2 linked regions of the Oryzias latipes genome follow. The protein of the gene in region 2 interacts with the protein of the main gene of each other region in a biochemical or structural test. Links are inferred from orthologs where the notes say so. Each region holds a gene or a part of one and is shown on either strand. Other genes may lie near its edges.

Region 1 (3,756 bases), on a different chromosome or scaffold from region 2:
TAAAGATGTATTACCTGGTTTACTAGTCAGTTTTACAAGTCTGCTTTGTTGTCATTTTGAAAAACTCAACTTTCTGCGTTCTGTTTTTTTTTCTAAATACTTGTTTAAATACTACATTTAAGGTTTTTTTTTTTTTTTTTTTAGAAATGTAGATCAATAGATACATTTTTACTACATTTAGGTCCATATAAAGTTTTGGAGTCACATTTATTTATTTTTTACCATATAGCTTTTAAAAAAGAAAAATAAGAGGTACATTTTCATTGAGCAACCTTGGACATCTCTGCATGAAAATAAAGACTGTAACTGTCCCAAACAAGCGTGGTTGTGCAGATTCAACTCTTCATACACTTATTTGTGACACAGCATTTTATTGTTTGTTAAAGAACAAAAGAGAATAAAAGGTGTGAAGAAGAGATTTAAGAGGGTGTGTTATTGCGTGTAGCTAGGAAGCATCAGGAATCCTCTTAAAAAATGAGTTGACTGAATCCCAAATCAAGTTCAAAGTTGTTGTTTTTTCCCCTTTCTGTGGTGGCAGCAGTCCGTAGCCCTTGTTCAGGGGGAGTAGGGTGGAGGCAGTGGTGCTGAAGAAATCTTTTCATAGGCGGGAGGAGCATTAGGAACCTGGGGAGGGGGGTAAATATATTAAAATCAGACAGCAATTTGAGTGGCATTTTGTCTCTTTAGATGTGTAAAGTTGTAAGCTTCATTGTTTGCAATATTAAAATTCCTCTTTACACATATGAAATTCATTATAGCATTCAAAAAGTTGATTTTTTTTTGCCCTTGGTCTCCTTTCTTTCCTCTGGAAAGGGATTTTTTAATCCTTTTCGTCTGGTGACATAATAATCCCCTCAGCCCTTCGTAGAGTTGCATCAACCTCACATGTTTTACACAGTAATCTAAACTCTGAGGCTTTCATCTTAAAAACGATTTTCATGTTCATTCAAAGAAGGAAAAATCAGTATTTCATAAAGCAACTCATTAAGGCACACGTTTGGTCGAAACATTTCTCTTTATCACTCACCACTGGTCGAAAGCTGCCGAAGTCTGTGAGAGCCATCTTGTTATCAGCTGAGGGCCCCCCCTCTGAGTAGTGACCTCCTGTGTAACCTGGAGAACCTGATCTGGGGGTCTTTAGGAGGAAAATCATGAGAACATACAGTCTGTTTAGTATTTTATCCTAAAAGGACAGTACTATTGAAGCTACATATGACGTGATCATAAATATGTGAAAGTTTCTTTTCATCAAAACAGGTGAGATCATCTCACTCTGATGATTTTATAGCCACTTCTCTTCTTGAAGTACCAGCAGCCGAGGATGAGGAGGCCTGCAAGGAGGACCACGAGCAGAGCAATCCCCACAGCCCTGAGAAGCAAAGCAGCAAGTTCACCTCAAACATTCTTCATCAGAGCCTGAACCTGAAGATGACACAAAAGCCCTCCTTTGTTTCCAGCTCCCCGATTTTCAAACTAAAAGTCTTACTCCTCAGCTCTGACGTTTCCTCGTCGACCACTGGTGAAATAAATGTTGAAGTCTCCACGAGGCATCCCGTCTGTGTGATTGCACAACATCAAGCTAAAAGACAACAGAAAGCTGATAAAAAAAAATGACATACCCTTGGCAAAAAGTAGCCGCTTTAAGGAGTCTGAGTGTACTACAATACAAGTATGCTTTGTCATTGCTTGTACTGTAGTACACTTAAATACACTACTACCATCAAGCTAAAAAAAAAAAAAAGCAACAGAAAACTGATCAAAACAACATACCCTTAGCAGAAAGTAGTCCATTTAAGTATACTTGGTCTATATTTCCACTATAGTAAACTTAAAAAGACTGCTACTAACATTTAGTAGTCTTTTACTTGAAGTCTGAAGTAGTACTCAGTATACTTTCCAGACTGTACATGCTCTAAAGAACTCTTGTTATACTCAAGTATACTTTTTAAAATAAACTTCAGGTGTACTACTTTTTGTCAATGGTAGACACATCATGATCTCCATTCTGCAAATAAATAAATGATAACTGAGTGGATAGTACTCTTTTGCGTCAATATTTTTAATAAAAAAGTTGGCATAACTTTTTGGCTGGTGAAAAAAAAAACAGAATCTAAAGAAAATACAACTACTGGGCTTATAAATTGTCAACCTTTTTTGCATTTTCTTTGCAATAAAAAACTGTTTAAGGGAATTTTGAATAAAACTTTATTAATACAGATAAGTGAGTCATCGTCGTGTATCCTTACATTTTAAATAAAATATTCCAAAAGTTCATACCAAGTAGGATAGTTTGCGAAGTCGTCGTCCTCCTCTCGAACGCCTCCTCACAAAGACAGAATCCAGGGAGCTGTGTGGGTTTTTTCACAAATGAAATATTTTGCCTCGGTTCGTTAAAAGACCAGAGAGGGTCACAAAAGCCCCTCATGACCGTCACGGGTTAGAGACTCATGGTTAAACCCACTGAAGCGGAGTAATCACCGTGAAACCCCGCGGCCGTGAACGCAACATTTTTGTCCACTCGTGAAACTCCAGGCAGGAGCTGCTGACCTTTCATGTGAGAGATGAATGTCTGAGAAGGAGCACTGCTGCTTGTTGTATTCCTAAAGTTAGTTTATATAATAGGGAAAAATTGAAATATTCACACTTTGTGTATGAGAGGGAAACTATGGCAATGCAGCTTCTAAAAGATGGCAGCATTAATACATTTAAAAAGACTAAAACGTGTGGCTAACAAAACCATTTTAACTCATGTGTATTTAAAAATATATATTTAGTCAATTATTAAAATAAATTAATGTGTCAAATCAGCCTTAGTAGTATTTCAAGTGACTTGAATAGAGTTTTTTTAATATAAAGTTTTTACCATTTGTTATCATTACAAAACAAAAAACAACAAAAAGACAAATAACAAACTATAATTTTGGATTATGGAGAATCAACATGCCAAAGTTCTTAAAAGCAATTGTCCATCAATTTTGGAAAATCACAATTGCAAAAGGATGGAAAAACAAGTTTAATGACAAGTAGATCTTACGTCTATTTGCTATTTTCATTTTTATATAACAAAAATAGATTATAATCTATTATAGATTATTGTCTATTAGTATTGATGAGATGAACTCGTTTTAAACAGAAAGTAGTTTTATTTTCCTCGAAATTTCCTTCACTTGTATTTATGATGTGAGAAAAATAAAATCATAAATAAATCCCATTTCTATTAGTTTGTTTATTTATTTATTATATATTAAGTCATATTTTCCAGCAGTCAGAAAGCGGAAAATTAAAAGGTTAGTGTTGTTCACAAACTGTTTCAGTTTTGCACAAAAACGTCTGTATTCAAAAATAACAAACTGTGTACAGTATTTGATATTTCATGTTTTGTGCTGTTAAAATTTTTTGCCACACCTTCATTGGACATTTTGCGAGTTCCTAGTTTTTCCCCTCAAAGAATCTTGCTTTGTAGAGAATCGTCTTAAAGACAGACAGAAAAAAATGGTACTGCAAGTGGACACATGGGAGATGAATAGGAGATCAGTCTGACACAGGAGTTTGCACAAACATTCAGGCATCCCAACAAACAGTTTTTGTTTTATTTAAAGCTTTTTTATTTTATTTTATAAAAACTAGTATTAGCACACTAAAAGAACATGTTAAAAAAATAATTTTCCTCATATTTTTGGTGCTGCTGGTTGCTTAAACTTTAATTTTGTTTGGATTTCATCAAAAAAATAAAATAAAACCAGAAATCAGACATTT
Region 2 (3,756 bases):
AGGGAAACCATTGGAAGTGCCTGACTTGGCGAGCCCACTGGCCATGACATAAGGATGAGAAGAGGCCCTGCAGCACCAAAAGAAATACTATTAGAACGCTTCCTGCAAGGACGATGAACATGTCTTTACATACAAAAGTCTTAGACTGGCAAACTAATATACTCCTGATTCTTTCTAAAAAGCATAATCCTGTCATTTAGCAAAGAATTATTTCTTCTCATGGCTTCCACTGGAATCTTTTTAGAATATATCCTGGAAGGATAAATGTGAGTGCAGGCTTGAGTTTACACTGCTCACACTCAGTATTTGCACCACAGTTGTAAACTTTGAGTCAAGTCCTTTAAAAAAAACAAAAAAAAACTTTTAACCAACAGTTTCTAAATTTGCTACGACATATGAAATATGAACACACGCTGACATTTGCATTCAAAACAGAAACTAAGCCAGAGTAACGGGAAGTTCAGATCCATAATATCAGGAATAAAATCCACAGGACTGAATGAACCTTTGAGGAGATAACAAAAAAAGAAGCTAAATGTGACTTTCTTGAACCAAAAATCAGCATCTTTAACTATAAAATAGAGGCAGGAAAATGTCCAAAGTATAATTAACTTTCAATTTGGTGATCAAATATCAAATTAAGAATTTGATTTGCATTATTTTATTTATTTTGTTTTTTTTGAGGACATCTGTCTAGTATGGAAAATATCCAGAGGATTTCAGATTGTGATGAACATTAAAAATGTGCTTATTGGACCCAGATGGTGTTTTTTATTACACTTTAAGAGCCGCTGTAAAGCAATATTTATGCTTGAATCTCACAGACGGGAATGTTCTTTTAGAAAAATGTTTGCCCAACAAACATATGAGCAAGACTAAATCAACAATGACGGCCTTACGCAGGTAAATAAAACACACGATCTGTGTTTCAGCATGGCCAGTTTCCTCCAAACATCTCTGAATAATAGATGGTCCTCAGTCTGTCCGGCCCAGTGACTCAGGGCAACATGGGAGAAAGTAAGGGGCTGATGGGTAAACTTTCACTTTGATCTTTGTCAATAATTTAATGCAACCACCGACTTTGTTGCATAGCAAGAAGACTGACCGTTCTGTCAATGAAGGTGTTTTCCAGATATTAAAATTAAATTCCAACTTGATTTGCTTTTCCATTTTTAACTATCTTTAATCCCTCACAGTCTGATAATTAACATTTGTCTCGCTGTGGATTCCTTACGTGTTACATCTATTTTTATTTTAAAACAAAATCTGCTTTTTATGTCGAAAAAAAAAGAAATCCCTTAGAAATACTAAACTTGTTAACCGTTCACGTCACAGACATACTACCGCCCCATGACTAACACTGTATCAGCAAAACAGGTATAATTACACACTATAGGAATCAGGGCGTTAATCTATGTGCTTACTCAAAATATAGTCCTTTTTAAAGACAACTATCAGACGACTCAATTCATTATAAAGAGAAATGGGGGGGGGGGGGGGGGGGGTCTGGGCCTGTCAACAAGGGGTATAAATATGAAGCACTAACAGCTCAGACACTTTGGTCACGCAATGAGTTAATAAGTGTCCAGCTAAACCTGCAATAAAGACACAGAGGAACACGCCTCGCCGGGTTGCTGATAACTGCTGCTCGCGATCAGGCCTTCTCCAGAGGCTCCACTGATCCTAAGAGGACCAATCTATCCTGCCAGAGGAGATTCACGACACTCCTGAGCAGAAGACATGTCCCATAATGTCAATAAGGACGCCTGACAGGCGCAGTCAGATCGGGCCTCGATCCAACAGCATTTTTTCTTTTACTGCTGATTCACCTTCCTAGGTGGTTATTCCGAGTGTCTAAAGGTAAAATGGTCTATCGATCCTCAGCGTAGGATACTAATAGGTTTTTAAATGTTGTTGCTACGCGGAAAAAACAAAACAAAAACTAATTTCTTTCACTAACATGTCCCACCCAGTGTGGCTAAACAAACCTTACACACATAATTTGCTCCAGCTGAAAGTGTACTGTTTAAGCTAACGCTAACATAGCCGAATTCCTTCACCAAAACGAGAAGGAAACAAACAAAGTGTATAGATGCTGAACATGGAGCGGCTACATTTGCATTGAAGCTGCAGTTGTTATGAACGTGTTGAATGTCAGCTGGACACAAACAACCTGATGCCATCCCACAGAGACGGCTACTAGCTGCTAACCTGTTAGCCTGACGCGGGCTAGCAGGCTGGAGACCCCAAAGTCAGGCAGTCACAGACGGAGAGAAAAGTCCTCTGATTTATCAGGTGAAATTTATCGTCTCACCTTAATCCAGAAGATGGTGTAACGCGCGGCGATCAGGTGGTAAATCCTCGCGGCTTTCGTCGTTGTCGTTTCAGTCAGCCTTCACTTTTAGGAAGTAGAAACTTCCACCATCTTCGTAAGCTCCTGTCACGTGACCGAAACAAGGCGGGGTGCATAGGGTGCGCTCTTCCCCCCTCTGCGCGGTGATTGGACCAGAGGAGTGACGTAGATGAAACGCGTAATCGTGCCTAAACCCATCTCCCTTCCAATCAATTCATAGGAATCTGTTTCTGTAATGTTTCTTTTGTAATACATGTACCATCCCCTGGCATTCACGTTGTTATGACTATTGATCTTGTCACACATATTTGTTGTATTTGTTTTGAACAATAAAGTTTAAAAAAAACAAAACATCTCCCTTATTTTAAATGATATAAATTGGAAAGAATTGCGTGGATCCTATTTTGTATAAATAACAAAATTAAAGAAATACATGAAAAACATTCTACATAACATTTACACCACAAATTTTCAAATATAGAAAATAATTGTCGTTTTTGTATTGATTTCCCCGAATCAGTTCTTCACCTTTTCTGCTTTTGTAAATTTTCCCGTGAATTTTGGAAACGCTTTGTAAACATCAAATTTAATTGTAACATTATTATAAACTTCAAACAAATGCTCACATATTTCAATTCTGATGATAAAAAAGTAGAAAATAGTATGTATTTGTTACTTCTCCAATCTAAATCTTACATACATAAGTGCAGAATAAAAAAAAGAAAACTCCTAATTTATACTATTTAAGATAGAGATGCTTCAGTTTTATGAATACATTAAAAAAATTAACACATCCAAAGAAAGTTACACTGGAACAATTTGTGTTTTCTTTTGTTTGATATGTAATCCCTGCCTCTAAGAAAACTTTGTATTGTAAACATTATTTTTTTTAATTCTCTTTTATATATTTTATGATACTTTATTTCTTATCAGCAAATTCTATTTTTGATACATTTCTGCTACAATTACTACTTGATGTGGATGAGTAAGTTTGGAATGATGGCATTTATTGTTGCTGCTGATGATCTGTTTGATTCCTTGATGTTGTGTTTTGTAATTTAATGTTATGTTCAATAAAGCTTAAAAAAACCCATCTCCCTTATTTACATTCAAGCATTATTGAAATATTACAAATACGAAAATTCAAATGTTTACATAGATTACTTAGACATATTAAAAAAATTCTTGTTCTTCATTTATATTAGTTTACATACATTTCCTTACATACATGAATCTCTGGTATGTTTAAATCTAAGCATTTATGTATGACCACATTTATGTGTGTATTTATACTTTTCCACATGAACATATGTATTGTTTGTTCATTTTTTATAATAATATGTTTTTCAAAAGGTACTCTTGGCAAAAAGTAGTGCACTTGAAGTTTATTTTATTAATTAATC

Evidence for each region.
Region 1: the proteins of E3 ubiquitin-protein ligase Itchy (region 2) and mlana form a complex in vitro, tested with the Homo sapiens proteins (2 studies listed by BioGRID and IntAct, with this or other methods). The link is inferred for Oryzias latipes from reciprocal best matches to the Homo sapiens genes ITCH and MLANA.

What each region holds. Positions count from the first base shown.
Region 1 is NC_019870.2:12,936,128-12,939,883, forward strand, and holds mlana (melanoma antigen recognized by T-cells 1), read right to left. Parts: upstream 2,438-3,756; 5' UTR 2,278-2,437; intron 1,580-2,277; 5' UTR 1,576-1,579; coding exon 1,487-1,575; intron 1,370-1,486; coding exon 1,273-1,369; intron 1,136-1,272; coding exon 1,028-1,135; intron 625-1,027; coding exon 556-624; 3' UTR 117-555; downstream 1-116. UniProt on the Homo sapiens protein: Involved in melanosome biogenesis by ensuring the stability of GPR143. Plays a vital role in the expression, stability, trafficking, and processing of melanocyte protein PMEL, which is critical to the formation of stage II melanosomes.
Region 2 is NC_019865.2:2,031,215-2,034,970, forward strand, and holds the start of E3 ubiquitin-protein ligase Itchy, read right to left. Parts: upstream 2,461-3,756; 5' UTR 2,315-2,460; intron 68-2,314; 5' UTR 46-67; coding exon 1-45. UniProt on the Homo sapiens protein: Acts as an Acts as an E3 ubiquitin-protein ligase which accepts ubiquitin from an E2 ubiquitin-conjugating enzyme in the form of a thioester and then directly transfers the ubiquitin to targeted substrates.